Linked DNA regions of Saccharomyces cerevisiae S288C. The gene in region 3 interacts genetically with the main gene of each other region. Each region holds a gene or a part of one and is shown on either strand. Other genes may lie near its edges.

What was found.
Region 1: of FPS1 (region 3) and ASK10, extra expression of one rescues a mutant of the other (dosage rescue), as found in Saccharomyces cerevisiae (3 studies listed by BioGRID, with this or other methods).
Region 2: mutations in FPS1 (region 3) and SAP155 together harm fitness more than expected from each alone (negative genetic interaction), as found in Saccharomyces cerevisiae (2 studies listed by BioGRID).
Region 4: mutations in FPS1 (region 3) and ARO1 together harm fitness more than expected from each alone (negative genetic interaction), as found in Saccharomyces cerevisiae (3 studies listed by BioGRID).

What each region holds. Positions count from the first base shown.
Region 1 is NC_001139.9:675,327-683,239, reverse strand, and holds ASK10 (Ask10p), read right to left. Parts: upstream 4,546-7,913; coding exon 1,105-4,545; downstream 1-1,104. Other genes in the region: ESP1 (separase), read left to right, coding at 1-674; thiamine transporter TPC1, read right to left, coding at 5,675-6,619; exosome non-catalytic core subunit RRP46, read left to right, coding at 6,898-7,569; VAS1 (valine--tRNA ligase), read right to left, coding at 7,740-7,913. UniProt on the Saccharomyces cerevisiae protein: Positive regulator of FPS1 glycerol channel required for the glycerol efflux. As a component of the RNA polymerase II holoenzyme, is required for SSN8 destruction in response to oxidative stress but not heat shock.
Region 2 is NC_001138.5:231,488-238,796, reverse strand, and holds SAP155 (Sap155p), read right to left. Parts: upstream 4,556-7,309; coding exon 1,547-4,555; downstream 1-1,546. Other genes in the region: KEG1 (Keg1p), read right to left, coding at 1-339; ERJ5 (Erj5p), read left to right, coding at 542-1,429; OSW7 (Osw7p), read left to right, coding at 5,253-6,785; IRC5 (putative ATPase), read right to left, coding at 6,856-7,309. UniProt on the Saccharomyces cerevisiae protein: Positive regulator of protein phosphatase SIT4. Involved in directing expression of TOR-repressed genes and in dephosphorylation of NPR1 in response to nutrient starvation. Negatively modulates K(+) efflux of the cell by the Na(+)-K(+)/H(+) antiporter NHA1.
Region 3 is NC_001144.5:47,507-53,658, reverse strand, and holds FPS1 (Fps1p), read right to left. Parts: upstream 3,722-6,152; coding exon 1,712-3,721; downstream 1-1,711. Other genes in the region: succinate dehydrogenase iron-sulfur protein subunit SDH2, read left to right, coding at 1-528; ATG10 (E2-like conjugating enzyme), read left to right, coding at 1,069-1,572; 60S ribosomal protein eL8 RPL8B, read left to right, coding at 5,030-5,800. UniProt on the Saccharomyces cerevisiae protein: Channel protein for glycerol. Has a role in both glycerol influx and efflux. Plays a role in osmoregulation: under osmotic stress the channel is apparently closed to allow accumulation of glycerol in the cell under hyperosmotic conditions.
Region 4 is NC_001136.10:701,195-710,320, forward strand, and holds ARO1 (pentafunctional protein ARO1p), read left to right. Parts: upstream 1-3,289; coding exon 3,290-8,056; downstream 8,057-9,126. Other genes in the region: YDR124W (uncharacterized protein), read left to right, coding at 1-95; ECM18 (alpha/beta hydrolase family protein), read right to left, coding at 203-1,564; palmitoyltransferase SWF1, read left to right, coding at 2,040-3,050; MTC5 (Mtc5p), read left to right, coding at 8,355-9,126. UniProt on the Saccharomyces cerevisiae protein: The AROM polypeptide catalyzes 5 consecutive enzymatic reactions in prechorismate polyaromatic amino acid biosynthesis.

The DNA.
Region 1 (7,913 bases), on a different chromosome or scaffold from region 3:
GTCTTTCATTTTTGAAAGATTTGTCTATCACACGTGTTCCGTCCTATGTTTGTCTGAATAAACTTTTATCGCGTTTCCATTACCAACTACCCCTTCAAGTAACTATTGAGGACAACATTAGTATGATATTAAATCCGAACGGAGATTTGTCCAGGACTGAATCTAAATTCAAGGGTATGTTCCAAAAAATAATCGATGCAAAACCTTCCTCTCAATTAGTGATGAACGAGAAGCCGGAAGAGGAAACACTTTTGAAAATGCTGCAAAATTCTAACTTATTCGTTTATATAGGGCATGGCGGAGGTGAACAATATGTAAGGAGTAAGGAGATTAAGAAATGCACCAAAATTGCCCCCAGCTTTTTACTGGGCTGCTCTTCAGCAGCGATGAAATATTACGGCAAGTTAGAACCTACTGGAACAATCTATACTTATTTGCTGGGAGGATGCCCTATGGTACTAGGTAATCTGTGGGATGTAACTGACAAAGATATTGATAAATTTAGCGAGGAACTTTTTGAAAAGATGGGATTTCGCTGTAATACTGACGATTTGAATGGTAATAGCCTATCTGTTTCATATGCCGTCTCTAAATCTAGAGGTGTATGCCATCTACGTTACTTGAACGGCGCAGCTCCTGTTATTTATGGGTTACCGATCAAGTTCGTATCATAATTGTTACATGTACTGGCTGTTTCGAAAAGATTTCATATAGGCATTGAGAAAAAGCATGGGAAATCCGATTTTGTTCTTATATCCAAAAATAATAAGTAAAAGAACCTGGGATTGATAAAAAAGTTTCATCTTTTTAGTATAGTTCATAATAGTAATTTTCATTTCATTATTGGGCACCTCATGGTGCGATACAAATATTTTAAGATTGCTTATATAATCACGAACACCTTTACGTACCATCCCAAACTACCACACAGTTGTTAGTTCACATACCATTGACACAAAGTCATAGCAGGAATTAAAAACACGAAACATCTATATTCTATAGGAGTTGCATTATAAAAATATGAATAAAAAACGGTGCTTAGAAAATAAACGGCGAACCATACAGGCTGTTTCTCAAAAGAGAACAAAAGTTAAGGCGTAACAATTAAGAATAAATCGACTGGTTTAGCTTTATAGTATCATTATTAGTTGAATCACCATCATCTTCTTGAATTCCACCACTCATAAATTGGTTAGTCATTAGATTACCACCGTGATTTGCACCCTTTTTTGAAAACATTAAACTATTCAAAGAACTAAATGATACGTTTTTCTTGTGCTTTCGGATAGGATGCACCCTAGAAGCTGTTGAACTAGAGGTAGTCAAATTTTGGGCGCTATTATTGCCCCGTTTATAGAAAGCAGGGTGCGCATGAGTCTTTTCAGCAGTCAAACAAGGAACATTGCCTGTGCTGTTCGTTTTCTTTAAGGTTTGGTATGGTGATTCGCGGTTGATCGTTGTGACGGACGAATTCATGGTAGGTGAAGAAGGTGCTGTAGCAGACTGATCGGCAGCAACAGTTTTAACATTTTGGTTATTGACCATCACCTTAGGTACAACGGGAGCGTTCGCTGTAATTGAATTACCTGCAGATGTACTTCTCATCGCTGTGACATTAACACTTGAACTTGAAGTTCTTGATAAAGGTTGCATTTGTAAAGGTTGCTGTTGTTGTCGTATTTGGTCGTCATTATAACATGGGCTAGAGCCTTCAGAGTTTCTCTGGGTGTAATTATTATTGTTGTTGTTCCCATGAAGCGGAATGGCAAAATAACCGCCTGAGCTGGATTCTGAATTAGAGCTACCTGGAGAATTCACTGGTAGGGATAGGGATGTGTATGAAAATCCAGGTAGGGAACTTGTTTGTGAAATATTTCTTTGGTGGCGCAAATTAGTTGTTGGATTAGTATTATTATTTGCTGTTGATTGTTGGAGCATCATCCCATTACTCGTTATTGATACAGCCGGGTTATACCCATTATACATGCTTTGAGGTCTTGAGCCCGATGAATAAGAAGGAGTTGTGTTACCTGAAGTGGCCATGTAGTCAGAGTATTGGTGCGGAGATTGTGCAGGTCTTCTTTCCACCGTAATCAAATTGCCATAATCGTCAATAGCAGGTGTATTAACCTTGGATCTAAAACCATTTCCATCAAAATCTGCTAGTGAATTGTTCTGAATATGAATATACTGAGGTTTCTCCGCCCTGCCCTTTAGGTTGACGGACGTCGTAGTACCGTCTTGTAATGTGAATGTGCTATCTGTTAAACAAGGTGTATGGGAACCTATGTTCACGCTGTTTCTTGACATATGTCCCGCCTTGAATCGGTGTGATTTCATCACACGGTCTTCGATAAACTTAATTCTATCTTTAGTGTCATTGAAGCTCGTTAAATTTTTCAAATCTTGGACCCAACGTTTAAAATGTTTCAATTCCTCTTCAGAAGGCTCTGGAGATACTATTTTAAAGGTCCAAGTCACATAATTGTTCGATTCCTTTTGAGCTGCAGCGTAAAATTGGTCCAGTTCACTTGATTTCGTATTCTTATTTTTGGGCTTACTTCCCTTCAAAAACTTGTGGAATGGGGCTTTTGAAAATATTTTTGCAGTCTCGTGGCCATATTTTGGTAAAGACGCTTGTGAAGAGCCAGATAAATAAGTGCTAGAGCTAGATTTTCTAACATCAGCGTTTTCATTAAGAGTGGGTTTACCTACAAGAACAAATTTGGTGGAAGATGCATCCTTTAAGGTACAATCATTTAGCGGAATACTCATAATCGGTGCCAAATAGCTCTTTTTGCGAATACCGCGAATACCATTTGCACCAGCTGTACCACCAGTTGTCGTACTGCTGTTATGTACATCACTAGCCTGGCGATGATGATTGTTAGCTTTGGCATTATTAGCATTGGCATAAGTGTCTGCAATGGAAACGGAAGAAGAATAAGCTGAAGACTTCGTGGAGTTAGGGGTAGAAGAAGATAGGTTATAAAAATCGCTACTCTGGAATTCATGAATATAGTTTGATGTTAGAACAAAATATCCTTGGTGGTAAGTGGGCAACAATTCCGATTTCTTCAAAAAATAACCTGCCTTAATACACTTGGCCAGTGGGGATTTCATGTGGGGATAAATAACGTCGGAAACTTTTCTTGGTGGTGGTATAGGATCGTTGGATTTCCAATTGAGTAGACAGGACGGATGCTGTGTGACAAAATTATCCCATTCAAATGCAGGAGGCTTTGATATTATACCATGTTGTAGTTCTTGGCACATATTTTTGATCATTAGACGAGCTTCGGAGTCAATTAAAGCAGAATAACGCAACAAAGCATGCTGGATTTTGGTGTATATAATTTTTTCTAATTGCAAACCTGAACTCTGTAAATTGATGAACGCTTCTTGCAAGTAAGTTTCTTCGGCAACTTGACGTTTGAGTTGTAAGTCTAGTTGCAGTTTCAAAAGATATGGATCATGTTTTGGATCCAATTTATGTGGCTTCTTATTAGTAGGAGATGCTCTATCGTTGCCAATACCATGCGCGTTCATGAATTTTACAGCTGCGATGTATTTTTTCAATAGTTGACTTGTTAGCTGAATATGTGCTCCGATGTTTGTTTTGAAATCACCATGAAGGTCCTTAATTTCCGTAATTTTATATCTTAAATCTTTTCTCAATTCCTCCAATTTAGGAATGACGGTGGACGTAATCTCTTTAGAGATCTTAAATTGCTGGTTAGCCAACGAAAGATGGTACTTCTTCAAAATGACCTGGATGTCTTGAATCGAGCCTGAACCGAACTTAACAAAACCGGATGCGGCAGATGTATTGTCCGACTCTGTGGTCTGGACAGGCTTGTATTCATGAGGCGCCAAACTCATTTTACTTTCATCTGTGGGAGCCTGCACTGCATTTTCCTGCTGTTCCTGTTGCATTTGCATCTGAAATTGTTCGCTGTCAGTCAGGCCAACTTTCTTCTGCGCAGGCTGCGCTTTCTTAGGGCCTCTAGGAGCCGTTGTGAATGGATCCGTAATGGTATTTGTGGTTTCATCAATATCAGTCAAAAATGGAAATTTCACAGATCCTTTCAGTTGGTAATTGATCCGTGCGAACTGTTCTTGCGCATACGCGACTTCCCTCAAGTAAATCACTAACCCTTTCAGAATTTTTTTCCATTTATAAAACCTGTCTACAAGGATGTCGGTGGGATACTCCTTAACAAACTGCCCATCGATAGCTTCATCACCTGCAAGGGGCTTCTTCGTTTCCGTAGTAGAGGTTGGCTGAGCCTTTGGTATAGGGACGTTTATGAAGTAGGGAGATCTCTCATCTGTTTCAGGCAAAATAAACTCCTTTGCCTGATTGTTTGCCACTATGGAGGAAACACTTTCGTTCAAGGTCATCGAATCAGGTAAGATGTCCATCAAGTACTGCGAGCTCTTCGAGTGGATGGAGGAGGCGTCATCGCCGCCACCACCGCCAGATGGCTTATTGCCCATCGGCGTGAGCGTTTGCGAAGGTCTGGAACTAAAGTAATCAGACATTAGTTTGAGCCCAGTTTTGTCCTATTTCTAATGCACTCTCGTTGTGTTTGGTAGAAGAGGTGTTAAAAAACAGAAATTTTCGGTCGTTATAGTATAGATAGTTTAGTTTGTAACTACGCTGTCTTTCCTTATTCTTGTACGCTTCGCCCTAGTTCCTGTGAAAAAAGCTTTCTGTAGTAGCGTTATTTTTAGATTTCAAGATAGGAGAAGAATGGTTATTTTCGACAATGAAGATGAAGAAGGGCAGCGCTGTTTGAAGGGAAAGGGAATGCAAGACTAGGAAATATGGATTCAGCTAGCACATTTATGAGTAAGGGGAGGTGTTATTCAGTGCAAAAACTAGTGAAAAAAAAAAATAGGAAAAAAGATAAAGAGATGACAGAAAGCTAAACGCTTACAAGAAAAATGATGGATCGTAAACACGCAATCCAACAAATCGGCGGTGATGGTGATGATGAATCATCTCCGGAGGTTTGAAACTTAGAATCTGACATTTTTTCCCGCTTATTTTTGCGATTTTTTTTTTTGGTAGGATCAGGCGAGGTTGAACATCTCCCACGTTTCTCATTTCTTGGCTATTAAGGAGCCAAGAAATGAGAAAAGGCGAAAAAAAAAAAAAAAAAAGAAAAAAAAAAGTGTAAGTATGCCACATCTAAGAAGGGTGGCTACCACAAGGGTGCAGAGATTGCAGCAGTCCTTGCTTTCTTCAATTTTACTACTTCTTGTTACTCCTAGTCCGTGTGCTTGCGCAGATGTAAGTTGTGTTGAAACAACAAGCAGATGTAGTGGTCCCTGACGCTGGTTCCATCGGAAGATCCGATTCATTGTTTCCTTCTCTCCCTTCCCCGCTGACTGAGCGGAAAAAAAGATAAAAAAAAGAAGAAAAACCGGTGCGGGGCAGCAGGCAACTAAGAAAAACCGGAAAAAGGGTTGGCGTCAGATCGCTAGCAACGAGATTCCTCTTTTTTTTTCGATTTTTTGTTATTAGAGGAAGACGGCGCGACTGAGTCAGGCCGTAATCGGAATGGAAAACCGGGCGGCTACCGATCTTTGTCAGTGAAGAATATAAGATATGATGATTTCGTATATGTATATGAGTGTGTACATGTGACAAAAAAGATTGGAAACTTTAGTACATCCGCAAATAATGGATGGCAGTTTCATACCCCCAGAAACTCACAAAAGTGGTGGGTATTGTCTTGGAAAGGGCCACCAGAATACCTCTGTAAAGCGAACTCACACCTTCTTGTTTCAAAATCTGTAAACCGATTCTTGCGAATCCGTACCCTTTATAAGAACCGTATACAGACGAATGACGGGAGAACTTTTCCAGATGCTTCGAATTCATGAACTGCATTCGCCTACGGATCGTTTCGAGGGGGAAAGTAATGATCTTAGCAATGACGCCGCCAATGGTACCAGCGCTGTGATTTAAAGTAGCCAGTTCCCATTTTTTATGCGCGGCGGTCGTTTTTTCGTTTTCGTCACAGTATATCCTGATTGTTTCGTATGTTCCGAACATTATAGATGCGGTTAGAGTTATGGTTGTCATTGACGCGATGGAGCCCTTGAAAAATCCGGGGAGACCTTCTAGTTTCCAGATATCACGCACTTCTCTCGTGATGCTCATTGAGTGCATCTGGTTGTTGGCAACTAGTCGGGTCCGTAAAACATCGAACGGGTAGGAAACGATGGAACTGGTTATGCCAGCAAAGGCTCCGACAACAAGACTATGTAAGCGCGCCTCTAGTCCAAATGGAGTTAAATATCTATTAAAAAGGGAGTATGAACTAAACTGCGCTGAGCCATAGGTAACGTACAGCAAAGAACCGGGTATGTTACCCTTCCAAAAGGACCGGATGCCTTCGTTCTTTATCATGCTTCTGGCCACCTCCATGACCTGACTTCCGAAGGGCTTCAGCCCATTTGCAGGGGTCAATTGCAATCTGATCTTAATGGTATCCATGGGAGCAGTTATGCTACGGGCAAGCAGCCCGGATACGGCGCCAGCCAACAAAGTTTTCCACGCGGCCACATTTTGCCCTTTTCTTAACGAGTCCTCCTCTTTGAACATATCAACATTTATGTACTTTGAATGGTTTATATAAAGCTCCAGACTATGCCAAGTTAAAGGTGACAAAATAGCGCCTTTTCTTCATAAAGACTATTATGTACCTCTCTTTTTCTTTTTACTACTTTTTTTTTCCTTTTAAGCGCATCGGATTGTGGAAAAAAGAGTGGAAAATTTGTTAGATGAACCAGTTAAGATGCATAAAATATCTCTGCATATATGGTAATAACAAGGAGCCCAATACCAAGAATAGATTAGATTCTGCTGAAAAAAAAAAAAAAATGAGCGTCCAAGCAGAAATAGGGATATTAGATCATGTAGATGGTTCATCTGAATTCGTATCACAAGACACCAAGGTTATTTGTTCTGTAACAGGCCCTATTGAACCAAAAGCAAGACAAGAACTGCCTACACAATTAGCATTAGAAATTATTGTACGTCCCGCGAAAGGGGTGGCCACAACAAGAGAGAAGGTACTCGAAGATAAATTACGGGCAGTTCTGACCCCACTCATCACTCGTCATTGTTACCCAAGACAGCTCTGCCAGATAACTTGTCAAATTCTGGAATCTGGTGAAGATGAAGCCGAATTCTCCCTGAGAGAGCTAAGTTGTTGTATAAATGCGGCATTTTTGGCTTTAGTTGATGCAGGAATTGCCTTAAATAGTATGTGCGCAAGCATCCCTATTGCAATAATCAAAGACACTAGTGATATCATTGTCGATCCCACTGCCGAGCAATTGAAGATTTCGCTCTCTGTCCACACTTTAGCTCTGGAGTTCGTCAATGGCGGTAAAGTCGTGAAAAACGTTTTATTGTTAGACAGCAATGGTGATTTTAATGAAGATCAATTGTTCAGTTTACTGGAGCTGGGTGAGCAAAAGTGTCAAGAACTTGTCACAAATATAAGAAGAATAATACAGGACAATATATCACCTCGTCTAGTTGTATAGCCATTATAGATTATAATATACCACAACATGCTATGTCGTATGCCGGAGACTACCTCTTATATTTGGAAATAGTTATTATTCAATGTTCTAAAATTCTTAACATTTTCGTTGTTACATATACATAGCATATATATATATATATATTACATTAATTTTTATCTACCTTCAATCTACAATTTCAAACGCTTCAAGTTTTCAATAGTAGCTTCCAAACCTTCGATTTCGGCAACAGTGTTATCCAGCTTGCTTTTATTGGCTTCCTTGGCCTGTGTATTAGCCTTTGTTTCGTAATCCTTACTGTTAATGGTTTGTTCAATACCGTTCTTGGATTTTTTAGCCTTTTC
Region 2 (7,309 bases), on a different chromosome or scaffold from region 3:
AATGAAACTAGAATATGATGCATTCTTGAGGATCAATGCATGCTCATAATCGTCATAAAAATGGATCACGCTGACTAAATAGATAAAATTTAGGTCTTTCAAAAACGTTCTTGAAAGCAAACCATATTTGAACCCGTGGAATCTAAGCAACCAAATAACTTCCATGATGCTGGAATAAAACATCAAATATATCAAGAATTCGTGGATTCCTCCCGGTAAAAACCGAGACCCTACCAGTGGCATTAATATCAGCCACCGTATCAATAATGCAGCATACAAAAAGCTTGTGGCTAATTGATAATACTGATAAAGCTTATGCGTCAACTTGATACCTGCCATCCTCAATGCTAGTTAAATATATGTGACCGAACAAATACTTTTATTGACGTTGTATTTACATTATTTCCCAATTTGAAGGTAAATCATATTTAATTTCCATATTCAAAATTAATAATCACGAAAAAAATGAGATTTTCAAAATAACACGTACCAAAAGAATAGAAAACGAACAAAAAATCAAGGTTACAAGATCACTAAAAGAATGAACGGTTACTGGAAACCTGCGTTGGTTGTCCTGGGATTGGTATCTCTATCATATGCTTTTACCACCATTGAAACAGAAATTTTCCAATTACAAAATGAAATAAGTACGAAATATGGCCCAGATATGAACTTCTACAAGTTCTTGAAGTTACCTAAACTGCAGAATTCTAGTACAAAGGAGATTACAAAAAACTTAAGAAAGCTATCCAAGAAGTACCATCCGGATAAGAACCCTAAATACCGTAAATTGTATGAAAGGTTAAACCTCGCTACTCAAATTCTTTCAAACAGCTCTAATCGTAAGATTTATGATTATTATCTACAGAATGGCTTTCCAAACTATGATTTCCATAAGGGTGGTTTTTATTTTTCCAGAATGAAGCCTAAGACTTGGTTCCTGCTGGCCTTTATTTGGATAGTCGTTAATATTGGGCAGTATATCATTTCTATTATTCAATATCGTTCTCAAAGATCAAGAATTGAAAACTTCATCAGTCAGTGTAAACAACAGGATGATACCAATGGACTAGGCGTAAAACAACTAACGTTTAAACAACATGAAAAGGATGAGGGTAAAAGTTTGGTTGTAAGGTTTAGCGATGTCTATGTTGTAGAGCCTGATGGAAGTGAAACACTAATTTCGCCAGATACCTTGGATAAACCTTCAGTAAAGAACTGTTTGTTTTGGAGAATACCTGCTTCGGTTTGGAACATGACGTTTGGCAAATCTGTTGGTAGCGCAGGAAAAGAAGAAATAATAACGGATAGTAAAAAGTATGATGGTAACCAAACAAAAAAGGGGAACAAAGTAAAAAAGGGTTCTGCAAAGAAAGGCCAAAAGAAAATGGAATTGCCTAACGGTAAAGTGATCTATTCACGTAAATGATACGTAAGAAGTAATATTATCATGATGAATGAATGAATGAATAGAAAACTACATGGTACTTATACATATAAATTAATATATATATATACAAATTAAAGAAAAGTACAAAACAATGTATCATTCATGATCATAATCATTATCATTATCAGCATCTTCATTATAATTACGAGTATTATCATTGTCATTATCATTATTATCGTTATTATCGTTGTTATTACTATTATTACTATTATGGTTGGTATTGTTAATGTTACTATTACTGTTCTTGTCCTCCGGCGGCCCCAGTATGAAAACCCCATTTTCCGTGTTCTTATTATCAACGTCTTCTTGAGCCCTATTGATTAACATTTCCCTTAACTTGTTGTGTAAATCAGATTCTGTAGATAAGGACAACTGTTCTTCTAGAGACTCAACATTGATTAATTGGCCGCCACCACTTGTTCCATTACTACTCCCGGTATCTGAATCAAGGATTTCATTATTATTACTTGCATCACCATTTGGAGTTAATACAGTAGTATTGTCAGGCAGCTGCGGAATGATGTTACCATTTCCATCATCAATATAACTTCCACCGCCAAGAATTTTAGAGTACATCATTCTTGTTTCGTTTAAGACTTCTTCGGAGTAGTATTGCCATTCTTCGGTTTGTAAAATTACTTGAATATCGGGAGATATTAGTTCCACTTTGTACAATTTAGAAAATTTGACCACTTCTTCGGCAATCAAGACAATATGGCCCATATATCCCAAATTCATTTTCCTTAGCTCATAAAATTTATATGAATCCTGGTAGCCCCTTAATATGAAGTCTGTAGTTATTTTGAAATCAAAATTTGGGTCTCTAATAACGGGAGAAAATCGGGAAACATCCGTTCCTTTTTCATCTGATATGACGATATCAGTCATAAATTGATAGGAGCTCTTTAAGTTAAACAGAGACAAAACAAGGAAGGAATTATAGGAAAAATCCATTCTTCCATTGAAGATTTGCTGAATTATGTCGAATATAACATTATGCCAAAAATTGTTCCAAGGATGTGTTAAGAATAGTTCCATTATTTTGGAAACAATTCGCGTATCATATAGTTTGATTTTGAATAGGTCCCCGACCGTGGGGTCGGTCCTAAGTTTTATGTTTTGCTTCATATTGATGTATGGAATTTCGAAGCTCTCGTCTATTTCGTCGCCATAGTCACTTTCATCATCATTATCATTATTGTCGTTATCTATTTTACCGTTGTTATTTTTTAGGTCGTGATCAGTGTCACGTGTTGGAGAGTGCTTCGTTTTAAGTTGCTCCTTTTCTTCGATACTCAGATCGTTTAATGCATCTTGTAAATGATGGGATAACTGGCTCCTTACTTTATCTCTTCTTCTGGCTATTCTTTCTGCCCTTTTGGAATTCATTAATCCCATATTAGAGCAATGCAGTAACTCGGCGATTAATTCCACCACTTTGAATCTTTCAAATCCTAAAGGTTTAAATTTTTCGTGCAACTGATTTTCATGTAATGGGATGTTGGCGTCATTTTCAATATCTAGAATGATTTGGAAAAAATCGGACAAATGGTTTGAAAATTTCCGAAGTAGATAGCCTAAATATATTGGATCTCTATTTGAAGGTGGATGAGTCTTTATAGTAGTGGTTAAAAGATTAACTTGATCGTAGTCTGAATTGTTTTTCCTTATCAGCTCAATGACAATCGAAACTGTGGTATTTAATGCGGCACCTCTTTGGTTGATCATGATATCGACTAGCTTTGCAATGGATTCGGGAGATGCTAGCTGTCTCGTCAAGGAGTTTGGACCAATGGAAATATCATCCAAGGGTGCATTAGCAGAAATGGCAATCAGAGCCTTTAAGAAATCACCCACGCATGCTTGGATGTCAGCTGGGGACTCTTTGTTATTTAGAAAGCTTAAGCATTTGCTGATCAAGTTTTGATCATATACTAATTCAATTATTCCCGTGGGTGATTCAATCTTATCTGTGGATATTATTTTCAAGAAAAAATCCATCAATAGGGAAATATCAACATGCTTTAACATATCATCAACAAAGCTTCTCTCCGTTCGAATAAAATTTAAATATTGATCCTGCCTGGTTAACAACAGATTTTGGTTAATCTTTAAGAATATGGGTACCAAGGGAGAGTTTTCAGAATTGAAATTTGGCTGGTTGATGATAGACCAAATCTTGTTTAAGTATGATTGGTTTTTAACTAATGACTCGCTAATCAACCATATGTCTAAGGAAAAGATTTCAGATATTATGGTGGCCTTTGTCAAATAAGCAGATTCATCGTCCTCATTCGCATCGTCGTCGTCGTCATTGTTGTTGATATCATCGTTACCAAACGAGGAGCTTCCGCGTTTTCGTCTCTTCTTGTTATTGCTGTTATTATCGTCCTCTTTCTCCTCTTCTTGCTCCGTATCAGATTCCACATAAACGTCCTCTTGTGAGCTATCATCAAGCTGTTGCTGTTCTTGATAATCTATCAGGTTATTCAAATCCACTGTGGTGGCGGTTTTAATCTTCGAGATACATTCCATCAGTTGGTCGACCAGATATTCCATATTATTCACTTTCTTATTAGTTTTCTTATCAAAGAAAAATCCAAAGCAAATGAAGTCAAGTAGCGTCTTGTTTTGTCTCGATAATTCGTTCAGTAGCTCTGTCTCTACAAGCATTCTTTCAATAAAAGAGTTATCCAAATTCTTTGTGGTGACCATCATGGGAGCAGTAGCATTGCTGATATCCTCCTCATCTAAATCAGTTTTAGAAGTTGACCCAGAAGAAAAAGATGTAGTGGAAGATTCGCTAGAGTTCATGCTCCGTTCCTCTTCCTCTTTCTCATACCGTTCTTGCTGATCATCCTTCTCAAATCGACTCTTCTGATCTCCACGTGCCGTTTTCACTTCATCACCATGACTATACTCCTCCGGAATAGAATCTAGGGAGTCACTTGTACCTCGTTCCTGAACGTTGTTGAAAATAGCGGGAATGGCTTTACCAACGCTTGGGTTAATCCTTTCCAGTTCGTGTAGCACATGAAAATATTCATCTAGGATCTTATTAATATTAGAGTGATTAAGATTCTGTCCAAATGGCCAAAACGACATCTTTACTCTGGCTTGTTGTTTTCGTCTTTTTTTTCTTTTCTTTTGTAAAAACTGCTGCTCCAAAAATCAATAGAATGGGAACGGCAGAGACTATAGTCTAGGGAAGTAACGCTTGTGTCTTAATCGTGTTGAAATAAAATCAAAATGAAATAAAATCAAAATAATAAAAAAAGAGGAGGAAAAAAGGGGATAGTCACTCAAACCCACTATCTAGCTTTAGTCTCTCAGTCTTTTAACCGCTACTTGGAGAAAAAATACTGAATCCAATGGTCAAATAAGGCCTTTCTTCTAGTTGCTTTGGAGCGTATGATACCACGATACTGTTGGTTTTGGTTCTAATTGGCCACTTAAAATTATTTTTCTTTCTTTTTTTCTAGAGGAAGGGATAACCCTACTAAGACCTATTCTATAATTACCAGCCCTATAGTTGTCTTTCATTTTTTAGATAAATGCCCTCTTTAAAAATTAAATTAACCCTACTCATTTTGTTGTCATTTCGGCCCTTTTAAGCCACAATACAGGTATCATTTAACAGGAATTACATAATAGTACTTTAGAAGAGACTTGTATGGCATCGAGGCTTCCTTTTTGACTATTGGAAGATAGCATTTTTTTGGGTGTTGCTACTATCATATTTCTGTTACTGATTGACCTTTTCTTAACTAAGAAAAAGGTGGTTAGTTCTTTACTAAAAATCATGAAGGCCGTTTTCAAAGTAACGACTGCTTTGCTGGCTTGCGTGTTTATTGCAAGGTATCTGGTCTGTCAGCAAAATGGTCTGGGAAGCTTTGCCACAGATTTACAGCCCATTTGCCGGCATACTGAATTTTCAGTTGGCTCACTATTCGATTCTAAATTGGTTGAAGGTTCAGCGGTTTCTGACTATTTAGTTGGAAAGTACTCACAATCGATAAAACCACTGATTGAAAGATACCCCAACTCATCCTTGAAGAGAATTATGGGATATTTTTACCGCTTTTGGTACAATATTTTCTCTTTTCTAAGGCTAAATGAGCTCTGCTGTTCGCTACATTCCAAGTTGGGACCTTTATTAAATCATCTAAGGATTGCCTGGTACTATTTAAAGCCATATACAGACAATGTGAAGAATGTACTAGAGAATCCATTTAACTCCTCTACGGATTGGATGAAATACGGCTCCTTTAGCGCTGATGGCACGCTCACCAAACCCATTTTTGAGACAGACTCGGAAACAGAGGATTATGAGGATGATGAGAATGAAAATGAGGATGAGGATGAAGATGAGGATGAGGATGATGTCGGAATTGAGGATGAAAATAAAGAATACGAGTTCGATGGAGTACAGGATGGCCACGGGAACTCACAACTCGTCACTGCTGCTATTTTGCAGGATTTGTCAAAGATTATCATTGGTTCCAATAGCCATGCAGAATTGGAAACTTACGAGGCAGAATCATTAAAAATGGAATATGAAGCATGGATTAAGGCTATAGATTCGAAAATACACAGTGCGATGGCACTTTTGGATTCAGAGATACAGTCTGTGTTCGAGGCCGAGGTGCAAAATAAATCTATAGAAATCACTAGGAATCTTGATGACCTTAACACTACCGTTAATGAGCAATTAGTGTTTCTAGATTCAAAAATCAAAGATATTAATTGTACCTCTAAATTCGATCCTGTGCAAAATAAAATAAAGTATTTTGATGAATCGGGTCAAGTTGAACTGGAAGCTTACATTACCAAATCATCTATCACATCGATACTGAAGAATTATAAAATACATTTGTTAGACTTTGAAAAATCACTGTTTCATTCATTAGATTCTTTTCTTACCGAAATGGCTAAACTGGCAGAATCGATTCGTCTTGAAAACGTCGAAGTGTACGAAGAGTGGGGCGATGTAATGATAAGTCAATGGTCGCAAAGAATGGCATATATGGACGTCAGAGGTCTCCATTTGGAAGATCAATACGATCCTGCCTATATAGAAGAGAATCATTCCAACTGGCTCCGTTTCATGGAATTGAAAAAGAAAGTTATTTCTGAGAGGAACCGTCTGGTAAAACATGATCTGGATATGACTTTGATACTGGAATGGATTACTAAACTAAAAGCTGATTTCCAGAACACAAAAAATAATATTCAAGATACCTTTCTGCAACGAATGAATACTGCGGATACTTTATTCAAAAACCGTGAACTAAAGGAACAACTAGAGGAAGAATTTGTACGGCAAGAACATTGATCAATATATAGGTATGTATATGTACATATATACAAACATTTAATAAAAACAATATTGTATGATAACCAAGTTAAAGACCGGAGGTTGTTTCAAATAGCTTGACGTGCGGCAGATCTACGACTCTGTTGGCCTTGTACGCTTCAAGAGATCTGTTGGTCAATTCTTCAACCTCCTTATCAGTCAGTTGGCCCTCAGTAGCCTTATTTTCTTTCTGTCCCCCATTTTCAAAGCCTATATTGGATTCATCGCTCATTAAAAGCATAGATAACTCCTGGACTAAGTCCTTATTAGTGACATTAACACCCGCTTTGTTTGCCTTCAAAAAAGAACCTTCATTTAACGCCAATTTTTTCAGGTTATTGAATTTTCCCATCTGGATAACCATTCTTTCCAAATTTCGCTTATTGGCCGCTCTGGTCAATATAACATGTTCAATGGTGTTATCACAACACAACCTATATACTATAACCGGTGATTCTTGGCCAATACGGTGACACCTGTCCATGGCTTGTAAATCCACCTGT
Region 3 (6,152 bases):
TGCGGTTCATGTGCCATGAACATTGGCGGTAGAAACACGCTAGCTTGTATATGTAAGATCGACCAGAACGAATCCAAACAACTCAAGATCTATCCATTACCCCACATGTTTATTGTCAAAGATTTGGTACCTGATTTAACTAACTTCTACCAACAATACAAATCTATCCAACCTTACTTACAGAGATCATCGTTTCCAAAGGATGGAACGGAAGTGCTACAAAGTATTGAAGATCGTAAGAAACTGGATGGTCTTTACGAATGTATTCTGTGTGCATGCTGCTCTACTTCATGTCCATCGTACTGGTGGAACCAAGAACAGTATTTGGGCCCTGCCGTGCTAATGCAAGCCTACCGTTGGCTAATTGACTCTAGAGACCAAGCTACAAAGACAAGAAAGGCCATGCTAAACAACTCCATGTCATTGTACAGATGTCACACCATCATGAACTGTACTAGAACTTGTCCAAAGGGCTTGAATCCTGGTTTGGCTATTGCTGAAATTAAGAAATCTTTGGCATTTGCCTAGACTATCAGAAAAACAGCTAGCCCCGAAGAACTCAGAAGCCTCTCAAATGATTTTGGCACTAATAAAAGCACCAACTATTATTATTATTATTTTCAAGGACGAAACTCACCATTCTCACACATTCCTATACGTTAGGCGTTTATGTTTACTCTCTATGACTATTATTTATTTATCATTGGCAATGCTATGACCCGGTCTGTATATATGTCCATCATAGGCGACAAGGTGTTCTAGTATCTTCAGGTATTGTTGTTTTTAAGGATGAATTTATATCTTTGTTTTTGAAGGGCCTTTTGGCTTCTCTCCCCTATTTATTCAATTTATAACTATTTATTATATTAATACACGCGTAATGCTTAAGGTTTATTATTAAAGGACTGTTTTTATATTTACATGCCTGTAGTTAATTATATTTTCGTTGTGAAATTTCTGTTAAGAAACTCTATATGAAAGGTAACGAACTTAAAATTGAAAAGCAATGAGAAGAGAACACCATGAAAAAAAAAAAAAAAGGGCTAAAAAACAGAATTATCAGACTTGATGATTCCTTACCAGGAGTGGCATAGCCAACTGCAATCGTTGTATGACTCCCAGATTTTCCATAACTGGGCCCTTTGCCAAGATGTCCATTTGAATGATGAAAAGGATGGACTTCTTTTGCGTTTAATACCTACTCGACAACTGCAGAAAAATACTGAGCGTATAGAAAATAAATTACTAAATCATATAGAATTATATCTTACATATTCAAAAGTATATAACGAGCCCTTACTACTTTTGCGAATATGGGAGGAGAAAAGCATAGATGGTATTCCAATGACCAAATTGATGCTCCCAACTGATATCGAATCGCTGCTTGATGTTCAAGGCAAATTCCAACTAGGTTTGGATACTATCATTAACCTGGAAGGTAGCGTTTGGTATTCTTTCCATCCATGCGATACATCATGTATAGTAGGTGACCAGGCTGAGTTCATGTCAACTTACTTAAGACGATGGGTCAGTATTTTCATATTTAGTTGGTTAGGTTATGAAGATTCATAGCTTAACCTAGGAAAGCTTTTTAAAACACTATGCAATCATCTATGTAAATATATATATATATATATATTATACCGGCGGTAGTAAGCAGTATTTTTTTCTATCAGTCTATATTATTTGTTTCTTTTTCTTGTCTGTTTTCTCATGTTACCTTCTTAGCATTACCATAATGCGAATCTTCTGATGATGTGTCGGATAACCCAATAGAATCAGTCGTCGTCGCACCTAGCGAAGCAGTTTCAATGGAATCTTCTTCTTCAAGAATTGTTGGTATACCACCAAACGTTCTTTTGCCGCGCTGAACAGATTTAAATTGCACTTTCTTTTCTCCTGCTTCATTTTCGTTGTCTGAAATAGATGACTTGGTCTTTGTCTTTTGAAGAGCCATTCTTTCTCCAAATTCCTCATCATCATCGTTATTGTATGAGAAGTCACTCAGGTCCGATGTTCTTCTTGCTCTATTTCTCTTCTTCCAACCAGGCCTTCTAAACCAGGCTCTCATAATCATTTCCTTATAAACTGGTAAAGACCAGTTGACTGGAGATTCATGACCCTGATAAATACAGACATCGTAAACCAACCCCCCCATTAACGCACCAATAAATGGGCCTACCATGGGAACCCAAAAGAAATGATGATGATGCACCCAAAGCATTTTATGATCAAATCCAACTGCATATAGTGCAAGACGTGGGCCCAGATCACGAGCCAAATTCATTGCTGTACCTGTCTGATAAGCCATGGAAGCATTGATAATGAAAATCAAAATAAACATCATCAATGGGAAAACATCAGAGGACAAACACGTATAAGGATCGGTCAGCGCAAATGTTCCTGCTTGTAACATAGCTCCACATAAAAATTCGGAAAAAAATTGCCGTCCTGAACTTAGATAAGGCTTTGGAAAAACGCAAAACATTCCCGCAACACTTTCATTCATCCACCAATCGCTATATGCCTCTTGTAACACCCTTTTGTACCAAATAAACAAGATCAAAGCGCCTGTGAAGGCACCGATCAATTGTCCAGCAAAGTAATAAGGAACTTTCTTCAGGGGAAAACCTCTATACACCAAATTGGCTAATGTAATAGACGGATTCAAATGAGCACCTGAGATGGCACTACCACCAGCGCAGAAATAGCCCATCACCACGGCAGCAGCCCAGCCCAATGCCACATCATCAAAGGTACCGCCCGCAACGGATGAAACCAAGGATGTTAAACTCTTCATAGCGTCTATCGTTTCTGCAGAAGACCCGGTAACGTTAAGGTTATCCAAAGCCACGTTGAAATTGTCCTGCTGTATTTTCCCAGCAACATTGACCTGACAAACAACAGCACTACCGAAAATAATCATAACCATTGTTCCCATAAACTCGGCTAAAAATTCCTTCAAATAAGTGTTTTTGACGGAAGACCATTTATTAATTGGATGGTATGTGGAGGGCAAGACTGTAGGTGTTTGAGGGTTCTGGTATAATGTCTTTGGCTTCACCATAATGGGGACGTTACGTGGTGATTCATTGCTTTCCATATTAGTTTGGGCACCAGTAGTCCTGCCATTCGTGGCGCCTGTATTGGCACTGTGCCCAGCATTACTCGTAGCCCTCGACCTACTTCTCCTTCTCGATAAATGTGACTCCGGGATGGTATGCGCATCGTCTGCATTTTTGTAAAAATCTTCAATGTTAAGCACGTTGGCCGACACTGTGGTCTGCCCTCTAGGCCTGAATGCTCTATTACTGCTTGCACTCGGCGGACCGTTATCTTTATGGTTTATATCTTGTGTGTTAATGTATGCGCTAGGAATAACCTCTTGAATCGGGAAAGCAGTCCCACTTTCTACAGAATATTGTGGAACATACGTGGGAGTAGGCCGCGCACTTTGCGGAGAAGGTCTATAATCTTGCATTTCATAATCATAGTCGTCATCATTTCCCCCATCGTTGCCGTTGTTGTTGTTGTTACTGTTATTATTATTATTATTATTGTTATTATTGTTGTTAGTACCACCAGAGTGATGATGTGAAGGTTGTGATGAAGAGCGTCCTTCGTCGGATGACTGCTTATTAGATTGTTTCCTAGAACTATCATGTGTATGAACAGATTCACTGGACAGAAAGTCGTTTAGAGCTTTTTGAGGATTACTCATGTCTTTTAATGCATTAGAATGTACCCTCGAGCGTACTTGGTAAAATAATAAAGAAGAACAACCGACGCTTATTGGGACAATAGGCGTTATACTTTGTTGATTTTTTAATCCACTTCCTGTTTTTCTTGGTGGAAAAAGTGCAATATATCTTGTTTTATCTTTTCCGCAAAAAGGGCCGGGCAATCTTGCCGTCTCCGGATTCACACTGTTCCCCGCTTTTAACTACTGAATTGCGCCTTCTCACTATGAGATCTGATCGAAAATAGAGGAAGCTACAGAAGATACCTTTGTTGGACGGCACATTAAAGAAACATCTCTGAAGCATTTTAACATATATGGATCCGTCTTTCTTTCTTCTGCTAAGGGACGGTATTACACGACATATATTGTCAAGCGCAACAGAACTAATTGACTTTAGGACGAGAATAATATAACTTTATGACACTCTGCTCTCCTACTACTTCTTATGCCGTAACTCTCTCCGTCCCTCAGTCCGTTGCTGCCTTTTTCTTGCGATGGAAGGCCCGTATCAGAATGCCCTTGACAATGTTCTCATGATAATGTAAGTATTCCTTCCTAAATAAAAGCATCAGCCGCGTTATCCCGCTACCGGGTTTTATTGTTTACGGAGAAAGCAATAACAGCATTTTTTTTGGTGTTCTTCGACTATCAACAAATAACCGCCGAAGCGCCTTGCGGAGGATAACCACCAACGAACTCAAATACCTACCGCGTACCTTCCTACGGTTATGTACTTTTGCACTGCTATTGCTTTGAGATGCTATGAGAACTGCCGTCAAAATTGGGTGGCAAAGAGGGATAGCTTCACTGCCAATCACTACACTCTGTTCTGAAGGAGGGGAATTACTGTTGTCTCATAAAAAAACACCTTTGAAACACTTTCACTCATAGAGAAGCCAAGAACTCTGATGAGTTCTTTATTTGTTGCCGCTAACTTTATCTTATCTTCTCCATTGTAATAATTACTATTCTTTTTACTTGCCTGTTTTCCATCCCAATGAAGATCCGTACATCTTAGACACCCTTTTCTTTTTTTCTTTTTTTTTTTTTTTTTTTTTTTTGGCTTCCGAAGTGCCGACAACTAAAGAATTATCGCATTTTTTTTGAATACATCATACTATACGATAGAACGCATTGAAACTTTTCCCATCTCAAAATCCAGGGACAATAGTATGGGATCGATATTATTATCAAGACATAAGTATTGTGATGCGCACGTTGAAATTCACTATTTTTTTTTTTTATATCTGTTTTTCAATACAGTGAACACGATAACTGAAAGAAAAGATGGCTCCAGGTAAGAAAGTTGCTCCAGCTCCATTCGGTGCTAAGTCCACTAAGTCTAACAAGGCTAAGAACCCATTGACTCACTCTACTCCAAAGAACTTCGGTATTGGCCAAGCTGTCCAACCAAAGAGAAACTTGTCCAGATACGTCAAATGGCCAGAATATGTCAGATTGCAAAGACAAAAGAAGATCTTGTCCATCAGATTGAAGGTTCCTCCAACCATTGCTCAATTCCAATACACTTTGGACAGAAACACCGCTGCTGAAACCTTCAAGTTGTTCAACAAGTACAGACCAGAAACCGCTGCTGAAAAGAAGGAAAGATTGACCAAGGAAGCTGCCGCTATCGCTGAAGGTAAGTCTAAGCAAGACGCTTCTCCAAAGCCATACGCTGTTAAGTACGGTTTGAACCATGTTGTCTCTTTGATTGAAAACAAGAAGGCCAAGTTGGTTTTGATTGCTAACGACGTCGACCCAATTGAATTGGTTGTTTTCCTACCAGCTTTGTGTAAGAAGATGGGTGTTCCATACGCCATTATCAAGGGTAAGGCTAGATTGGGTACTTTGGTTAACCAAAAGACTTCTGCTGTTGCCGCTTTGACCGAAGTCAGAGCCGAAGACGAAGCTGCTTTGGCTAAGTTGGTTTCCACCATTGACGCTAACTTCGCTGACAAATACGATGAAGTCAAGAAGCACTGGGGCGGTGGTATCCTTGGTAACAAGGCTCAAGCTAAGATGGACAAGAGAGCTAAGACTTCCGACTCCGCTTAAATTCATATATAGAATTTCGAACATCGTAATATAATTATATTTTGTATACTTACTTAATTCCCGTTTTCTTTTGTATGAATTTTTGAAAAATAATAGAGCAACATTATACTTTTAAGCGCGGCACTAGTTCATCAATGTCGGGTTTTGCCAAGCAAAACTAATTGGGGCAGCTATTTATATTTGAAAGAATCAGCGTCACTGTCGACGATACAACAAATAGCCGCCGAAGTTCCTGTAAGCAAATATAAAAACTAAAAACTCTTTTGTTCTTTTCTCTTGTTCCTTCTCACTTCCTTTTCATTCATACATACGTTCAAATCAATGGAAATAGGGCATCTTCCCAAGTAATCTT
Region 4 (9,126 bases), on a different chromosome or scaffold from region 3:
TATCTCGATTAGAAAATTTAGTGGAATTTGATCCGTTATTCCTCACTAAATTGGATGAATTAACTAGTAGCGATGATTGTAAAGATTTTATTTGAGAAAAATTTCAAAGCAAAGAAAAGAGGTGTGAGGAGCGCAAAAGCAAAAAGGGGGATAGCATACATTAACACATTTTTTGGCTCTTTGCTACTTGATTTGGTTGCTATCAAGGCGATTTAGTTTCGTCTGATAAGAAGGACACTATAGATTGGTTGAATGATTCTGGGTTATCTAAAAAAAGATTGTGACCGGAAGAAGGTATTTCTAAATAACTTGCTCCTTCTAGACAGTTCTTTAAATTGTTCAACTCTTTGACCATGAACATACCGGCTTTTTTATTCATCCAATCATATTGCCCATATACTATCAATAATTTCTTAACATTTAAATATTGCAGAGAATCCATCAAGGGGTCCTTTGCTAGGATACATCTTGAAAATAACGCTTTGAAAATATCTGTCGTAACCTCCGGTATACCTCCCTTACCGTAAAACAGTTCAAATATGTACTCTTTGTATGCCAACGATGGGACTCGGCTATATGCCGCCATTATGTAATTCCAACATAACTTAGCTCCTAATGGTCCCATCATTCTCAAAATGTGAAATTGTTGTTCAAATAAGTATTTTGGAATCATATTTCTTTTGGAGTAAAACTTGGAATTTGGATTTTTAAAATCGATAGTATAAAGAGTGTTGGAGTGGAAATTATTATTTACAGACCAGATATTCCTTTCCACTCCTAGTGGGGATACCAAGCAAAGTTTGTTTACCGAGTTTGGATATTTAACAGCATATTTAAAAGATAAATATCCGCCAAAAGAATGCCCCACAACATTCATTTTGCCCAATTTGTTATCAATGCGCCATTGCTCGATTCTGTCGAGATAGAAATCTTCGTACATTTGAATCACAAATTTATTGTGATTTGCATTTATTGTATATGGAACCTTAAATTTATTTTCTCCAATAAATTTGATATCTAACGGCAGAGGTGTTGTTGTATTGATCTCTAAAGACGGTACTGAAGACAATCCGCTCGCTGGCATGTCAATTGAGTATAAATTTCGGATGTGCTTGGACAGACCTGGATAATTTCTGAAAAAAGACATTGAAGATGCGGCATAGCCATGTATCAGCAATGTTGGTGTTCGAACAGTACTTGTGTTTTCATTTTGGAAATGCCATTGATTTATTTCGTTGAATAACTTATCATTCTTTTTAATACCTTCAACGTGTACCTCTTCCATAATACGTCTCTGTAATTCCTCCAGCCGCATATAAGTTTTGTGTGGGTTATTCAAATGGCTTGACCATAGCTTGAATCCAGATTTTTTGACAGCATTTTCCTCCTTGGGTCTAAGAATCCTTTCCAAAATTTTTCTCTGGAGACTCTTTTCACGACGTTTAACTTCCAGTAGGCTTCTATTACTGTGGAACGCTCTCTTCCACATGTAACATTTATATACATTCATTATCTGCCTCCTTAAACTTTCAGGGTCCATCAAGTACCTCTTTATTAAAAGCATTTTTCATTCGCTCATCCTTAAACTGGAAAGGCATAAGGAAACTGTCAGAATATATAAATAGAGGTGTAAAACATGTGAAGCTCTGTGGAGTTCTAAGCTGGAATCGAAACAGTTGTCTCAATTTTAGTAATGTCCAAGGGCTTTCCAGGAGGTCAGTATATTCAAAGCCAAAATAATTAATGTTTTGGTCTGAATTTTTATTTTTCAAAAATGAGGTGAAAACCTCCAACGAAACTTTTTAATTAAAACCATCCGATACAGAATTTTAAATCATCTAAAGCATTTATTCGGCATTTTATCCTTGAATAACGTACTATGCAACTCATATAAATACTACAATATACTTTCTCTTTAGGAAATTCGTAGCTATCAACAAAGGTAGTGTCATTGTATATATACTTCCGCCTTCCTAAAAAAAACTTCATTATGCCTCCAAAGAAGATATCTTTGTCTCCTAACATGAAAAGAACAAACAATGTCATGGAATCTACTATTTGTGCTGCTAATAGGATTCGTAGTTTTGATATTACTTTCGCCCGTCTTCAAGTCAACATGGCCATTTTCGACTTTCTATCGTAATGTGTTTCAGCCCTTCCTAGTGGATGACCAAAAATATCGTTGGAAGTTGCATTTAGTACCTCTTTTCTACACCTCTATTTACCTGTACCTAGTATATACATACCACATGAGAGTGGAGTCTACGATTAAGAATGAGCTATTCCTTTTAGAACGAATACTGATCGTGCCTATAATTATACTACCGCCGGTAGCATTAGGAATTCTAGCCATGGTAAGCAGAGCTGAGGATTCAAAGGATCATAAATCAGGCTCGACAGAGGAATATCCATATGATTACCTATTGTATTATCCTGCCATAAAGTGTTCGACATGCCGGATCGTCAAGCCTGCTAGATCCAAACATTGTAGCATTTGCAACCGATGCGTTCTCGTCGCCGACCATCATTGCATCTGGATAAATAACTGCATCGGAAAGGGAAACTACCTTCAATTCTACCTTTTCCTAATTTCCAACATATTCTCGATGTGCTACGCCTTTCTAAGGCTGTGGTACATTTCTTTAAATAGCACAAGTACGCTCCCTAGAGCTGTTCTGACTCTTACCATATTATGTGGATGCTTCACTATCATCTGCGCTATTTTCACGTATCTTCAATTGGCCATTGTAAAGGAGGGAATGACTACAAATGAGCAAGATAAATGGTATACCATTCAAGAGTATATGAGAGAAGGAAAACTGGTGAGATCATTGGATGATGATTGCCCATCTTGGTTTTTCAAATGCACAGAACAAAAAGATGACGCTGCTGAACCACTCCAAGATCAACATGTTACGTTTTATAGCACGAATGCCTACGACCATAAGCACTACAACCTTACACACTACATCACGATTAAAGACGCGTCCGAAATTCCCAATATATATGACAAAGGTACCTTCCTGGCCAATCTCACAGATTTAATATAGTAAATTGTCATGCATATGACTCATCCCGAACATGAAATTTTTTTTCACTCGGTTTTTTCTCACCGCCATAGATTCTAACCGCAAATGTCGAACAAATTCATTATACAAGCGGTTTATTAATATAGAAGGTAGGACGCCGACTCGTAACCATTAGTAACAGATCACAGCTATACTCGGTCGTTCAAGTTTATATAATCTCCTAGTTGAGAAATCCCTACGTAAGATAATTGTATATTACGATGGTGCAGTTAGCCAAAGTCCCAATTCTAGGAAATGATATTATCCACGTTGGGTATAACATTCATGACCATTTGGTTGAAACCATAATTAAACATTGTCCTTCTTCGACATACGTTATTTGCAATGATACGAACTTGAGTAAAGTTCCATACTACCAGCAATTAGTCCTGGAATTCAAGGCTTCTTTGCCAGAAGGCTCTCGTTTACTTACTTATGTTGTTAAACCAGGTGAGACAAGTAAAAGTAGAGAAACCAAAGCGCAGCTAGAAGATTATCTTTTAGTGGAAGGATGTACTCGTGATACGGTTATGGTAGCGATCGGTGGTGGTGTTATTGGTGACATGATTGGGTTCGTTGCATCTACATTTATGAGAGGTGTTCGTGTTGTCCAAGTACCAACATCCTTATTGGCAATGGTCGATTCCTCCATTGGTGGTAAAACTGCTATTGACACTCCTCTAGGTAAAAACTTTATTGGTGCATTTTGGCAACCAAAATTTGTCCTTGTAGATATTAAATGGCTAGAAACGTTAGCCAAGAGAGAGTTTATCAATGGGATGGCAGAAGTTATCAAGACTGCTTGTATTTGGAACGCTGACGAATTTACTAGATTAGAATCAAACGCTTCGTTGTTCTTAAATGTTGTTAATGGGGCAAAAAATGTCAAGGTTACCAATCAATTGACAAACGAGATTGACGAGATATCGAATACAGATATTGAAGCTATGTTGGATCATACATATAAGTTAGTTCTTGAGAGTATTAAGGTCAAAGCGGAAGTTGTCTCTTCGGATGAACGTGAATCCAGTCTAAGAAACCTTTTGAACTTCGGACATTCTATTGGTCATGCTTATGAAGCTATACTAACCCCACAAGCATTACATGGTGAATGTGTGTCCATTGGTATGGTTAAAGAGGCGGAATTATCCCGTTATTTCGGTATTCTCTCCCCTACCCAAGTTGCACGTCTATCCAAGATTTTGGTTGCCTACGGGTTGCCTGTTTCGCCTGATGAGAAATGGTTTAAAGAGCTAACCTTACATAAGAAAACACCATTGGATATCTTATTGAAGAAAATGAGTATTGACAAGAAAAACGAGGGTTCCAAAAAGAAGGTGGTCATTTTAGAAAGTATTGGTAAGTGCTATGGTGACTCCGCTCAATTTGTTAGCGATGAAGACCTGAGATTTATTCTAACAGATGAAACCCTCGTTTACCCCTTCAAGGACATCCCTGCTGATCAACAGAAAGTTGTTATCCCCCCTGGTTCTAAGTCCATCTCCAATCGTGCTTTAATTCTTGCTGCCCTCGGTGAAGGTCAATGTAAAATCAAGAACTTATTACATTCTGATGATACTAAACATATGTTAACCGCTGTTCATGAATTGAAAGGTGCTACGATATCATGGGAAGATAATGGTGAGACGGTAGTGGTGGAAGGACATGGTGGTTCCACATTGTCAGCTTGTGCTGACCCCTTATATCTAGGTAATGCAGGTACTGCATCTAGATTTTTGACTTCCTTGGCTGCCTTGGTCAATTCTACTTCAAGCCAAAAGTATATCGTTTTAACTGGTAACGCAAGAATGCAACAAAGACCAATTGCTCCTTTGGTCGATTCTTTGCGTGCTAATGGTACTAAAATTGAGTACTTGAATAATGAAGGTTCCCTGCCAATCAAAGTTTATACTGATTCGGTATTCAAAGGTGGTAGAATTGAATTAGCTGCTACAGTTTCTTCTCAGTACGTATCCTCTATCTTGATGTGTGCCCCATACGCTGAAGAACCTGTAACTTTGGCTCTTGTTGGTGGTAAGCCAATCTCTAAATTGTACGTCGATATGACAATAAAAATGATGGAAAAATTCGGTATCAATGTTGAAACTTCTACTACAGAACCTTACACTTATTATATTCCAAAGGGACATTATATTAACCCATCAGAATACGTCATTGAAAGTGATGCCTCAAGTGCTACATACCCATTGGCCTTCGCCGCAATGACTGGTACTACCGTAACGGTTCCAAACATTGGTTTTGAGTCGTTACAAGGTGATGCCAGATTTGCAAGAGATGTCTTGAAACCTATGGGTTGTAAAATAACTCAAACGGCAACTTCAACTACTGTTTCGGGTCCTCCTGTAGGTACTTTAAAGCCATTAAAACATGTTGATATGGAGCCAATGACTGATGCGTTCTTAACTGCATGTGTTGTTGCCGCTATTTCGCACGACAGTGATCCAAATTCTGCAAATACAACCACCATTGAAGGTATTGCAAACCAGCGTGTCAAAGAGTGTAACAGAATTTTGGCCATGGCTACAGAGCTCGCCAAATTTGGCGTCAAAACTACAGAATTACCAGATGGTATTCAAGTCCATGGTTTAAACTCGATAAAAGATTTGAAGGTTCCTTCCGACTCTTCTGGACCTGTCGGTGTATGCACATATGATGATCATCGTGTGGCCATGAGTTTCTCGCTTCTTGCAGGAATGGTAAATTCTCAAAATGAACGTGACGAAGTTGCTAATCCTGTAAGAATACTTGAAAGACATTGTACTGGTAAAACCTGGCCTGGCTGGTGGGATGTGTTACATTCCGAACTAGGTGCCAAATTAGATGGTGCAGAACCTTTAGAGTGCACATCCAAAAAGAACTCAAAGAAAAGCGTTGTCATTATTGGCATGAGAGCAGCTGGCAAAACTACTATAAGTAAATGGTGCGCATCCGCTCTGGGTTACAAATTAGTTGACCTAGACGAGCTGTTTGAGCAACAGCATAACAATCAAAGTGTTAAACAATTTGTTGTGGAGAACGGTTGGGAGAAGTTCCGTGAGGAAGAAACAAGAATTTTCAAGGAAGTTATTCAAAATTACGGCGATGATGGATATGTTTTCTCAACAGGTGGCGGTATTGTTGAAAGCGCTGAGTCTAGAAAAGCCTTAAAAGATTTTGCCTCATCAGGTGGATACGTTTTACACTTACATAGGGATATTGAGGAGACAATTGTCTTTTTACAAAGTGATCCTTCAAGACCTGCCTATGTGGAAGAAATTCGTGAAGTTTGGAACAGAAGGGAGGGGTGGTATAAAGAATGCTCAAATTTCTCTTTCTTTGCTCCTCATTGCTCCGCAGAAGCTGAGTTCCAAGCTCTAAGAAGATCGTTTAGTAAGTACATTGCAACCATTACAGGTGTCAGAGAAATAGAAATTCCAAGCGGAAGATCTGCCTTTGTGTGTTTAACCTTTGATGACTTAACTGAACAAACTGAGAATTTGACTCCAATCTGTTATGGTTGTGAGGCTGTAGAGGTCAGAGTAGACCATTTGGCTAATTACTCTGCTGATTTCGTGAGTAAACAGTTATCTATATTGCGTAAAGCCACTGACAGTATTCCTATCATTTTTACTGTGCGAACCATGAAGCAAGGTGGCAACTTTCCTGATGAAGAGTTCAAAACCTTGAGAGAGCTATACGATATTGCCTTGAAGAATGGTGTTGAATTCCTTGACTTAGAACTAACTTTACCTACTGATATCCAATATGAGGTTATTAACAAAAGGGGCAACACCAAGATCATTGGTTCCCATCATGACTTCCAAGGATTATACTCCTGGGACGACGCTGAATGGGAAAACAGATTCAATCAAGCGTTAACTCTTGATGTGGATGTTGTAAAATTTGTGGGTACGGCTGTTAATTTCGAAGATAATTTGAGACTGGAACACTTTAGGGATACACACAAGAATAAGCCTTTAATTGCAGTTAATATGACTTCTAAAGGTAGCATTTCTCGTGTTTTGAATAATGTTTTAACACCTGTGACATCAGATTTATTGCCTAACTCCGCTGCCCCTGGCCAATTGACAGTAGCACAAATTAACAAGATGTATACATCTATGGGAGGTATCGAGCCTAAGGAACTGTTTGTTGTTGGAAAGCCAATTGGCCACTCTAGATCGCCAATTTTACATAACACTGGCTATGAAATTTTAGGTTTACCTCACAAGTTCGATAAATTTGAAACTGAATCCGCACAATTGGTGAAAGAAAAACTTTTGGACGGAAACAAGAACTTTGGCGGTGCTGCAGTCACAATTCCTCTGAAATTAGATATAATGCAGTACATGGATGAATTGACTGATGCTGCTAAAGTTATTGGTGCTGTAAACACAGTTATACCATTGGGTAACAAGAAGTTTAAGGGTGATAATACCGACTGGTTAGGTATCCGTAATGCCTTAATTAACAATGGCGTTCCCGAATATGTTGGTCATACCGCTGGTTTGGTTATCGGTGCAGGTGGCACTTCTAGAGCCGCCCTTTACGCCTTGCACAGTTTAGGTTGCAAAAAGATCTTCATAATCAACAGGACAACTTCGAAATTGAAGCCATTAATAGAGTCACTTCCATCTGAATTCAACATTATTGGAATAGAGTCCACTAAATCTATAGAAGAGATTAAGGAACACGTTGGCGTTGCTGTCAGCTGTGTACCAGCCGACAAACCATTAGATGACGAACTTTTAAGTAAGCTGGAGAGATTCCTTGTGAAAGGTGCCCATGCTGCTTTTGTACCAACCTTATTGGAAGCCGCATACAAACCAAGCGTTACTCCCGTTATGACAATTTCACAAGACAAATATCAATGGCACGTTGTCCCTGGATCACAAATGTTAGTACACCAAGGTGTAGCTCAGTTTGAAAAGTGGACAGGATTCAAGGGCCCTTTCAAGGCCATTTTTGATGCCGTTACGAAAGAGTAGACAATAATATATCTATCCTTTTTTATATTTTACAATGCTTCTATGATATCTTTACTAAGTATGAGTTGCCAAATAGTCAGTGTGACTGCTTACATACGTTGAATTTCTGTATATTTTTACTAAGTTGCAACAGTTAGATAATTACAAGTTACCCTTACATTCTGTGGGATGTAGTCGAAGAACATCTCAGAGTAGGTCATCAAAAGATGCAAATCAGCTGAGCACCCCACTTTCAAAAACATTGTAAGATATTTGAGGGAAATCGCCTCTGGCCCGTTTATTCACTGAAGAATTAATTATGTGCAGTAGTATAAATGAAGGTCCGTATAATTCGCCCACTTTTGGAAAATCATTATCGTTGAAAGTAGATGGTGGGTTCAATGCCGTATCTATCAATCCCTCTGGTAGGGATATTGTTTTGGCCAGTCGGCAAGGTCTTTATATTATCGACCTGGATGATCCGTTTACACCTCCAAGGTGGTTGCATCATATTACGCCCTGGCAAGTTGCTGATGTACAATGGTCGCCACATCCCGCAAAACCATATTGGATAGTCTCGACATCGAATCAAAAGGCAATCATATGGAACTTAGCAAAATCTTCATCAAATGCCATTGAGTTTGTACTTCATGGGCACTCAAGAGCAATTACAGATATAAACTTCAATCCGCAACATCCGGATGTTTTAGCTACCTGTTCAGTCGATACGTATGTACATGCTTGGGATATGAGAAGTCCACATAGACCATTTTATTCGACAAGTTCATGGAGATCTGCTGCTTCTCAAGTGAAGTGGAATTACAAGGATCCTAACGTCTTGGCATCTTCACATGGAAATGATATATTTGTGTGGGATTTGAGAAAAGGCTCCACTCCCCTCTGTTCTTTGAAAGGCCATGTAAGCTCCGTAAATAGCATAGATTTTAACCGGTTCAAATATTCTGAAATTATGTCGAGTTCGAACGATGGGACGGTGAAGTTTTGGGATTATTCAAAAAGTACGACAGAATCAAAGAGAACTGTAACAACAAATTTTCCAATCTGGAGAGGACGTTACCTTCCTTTTGGAG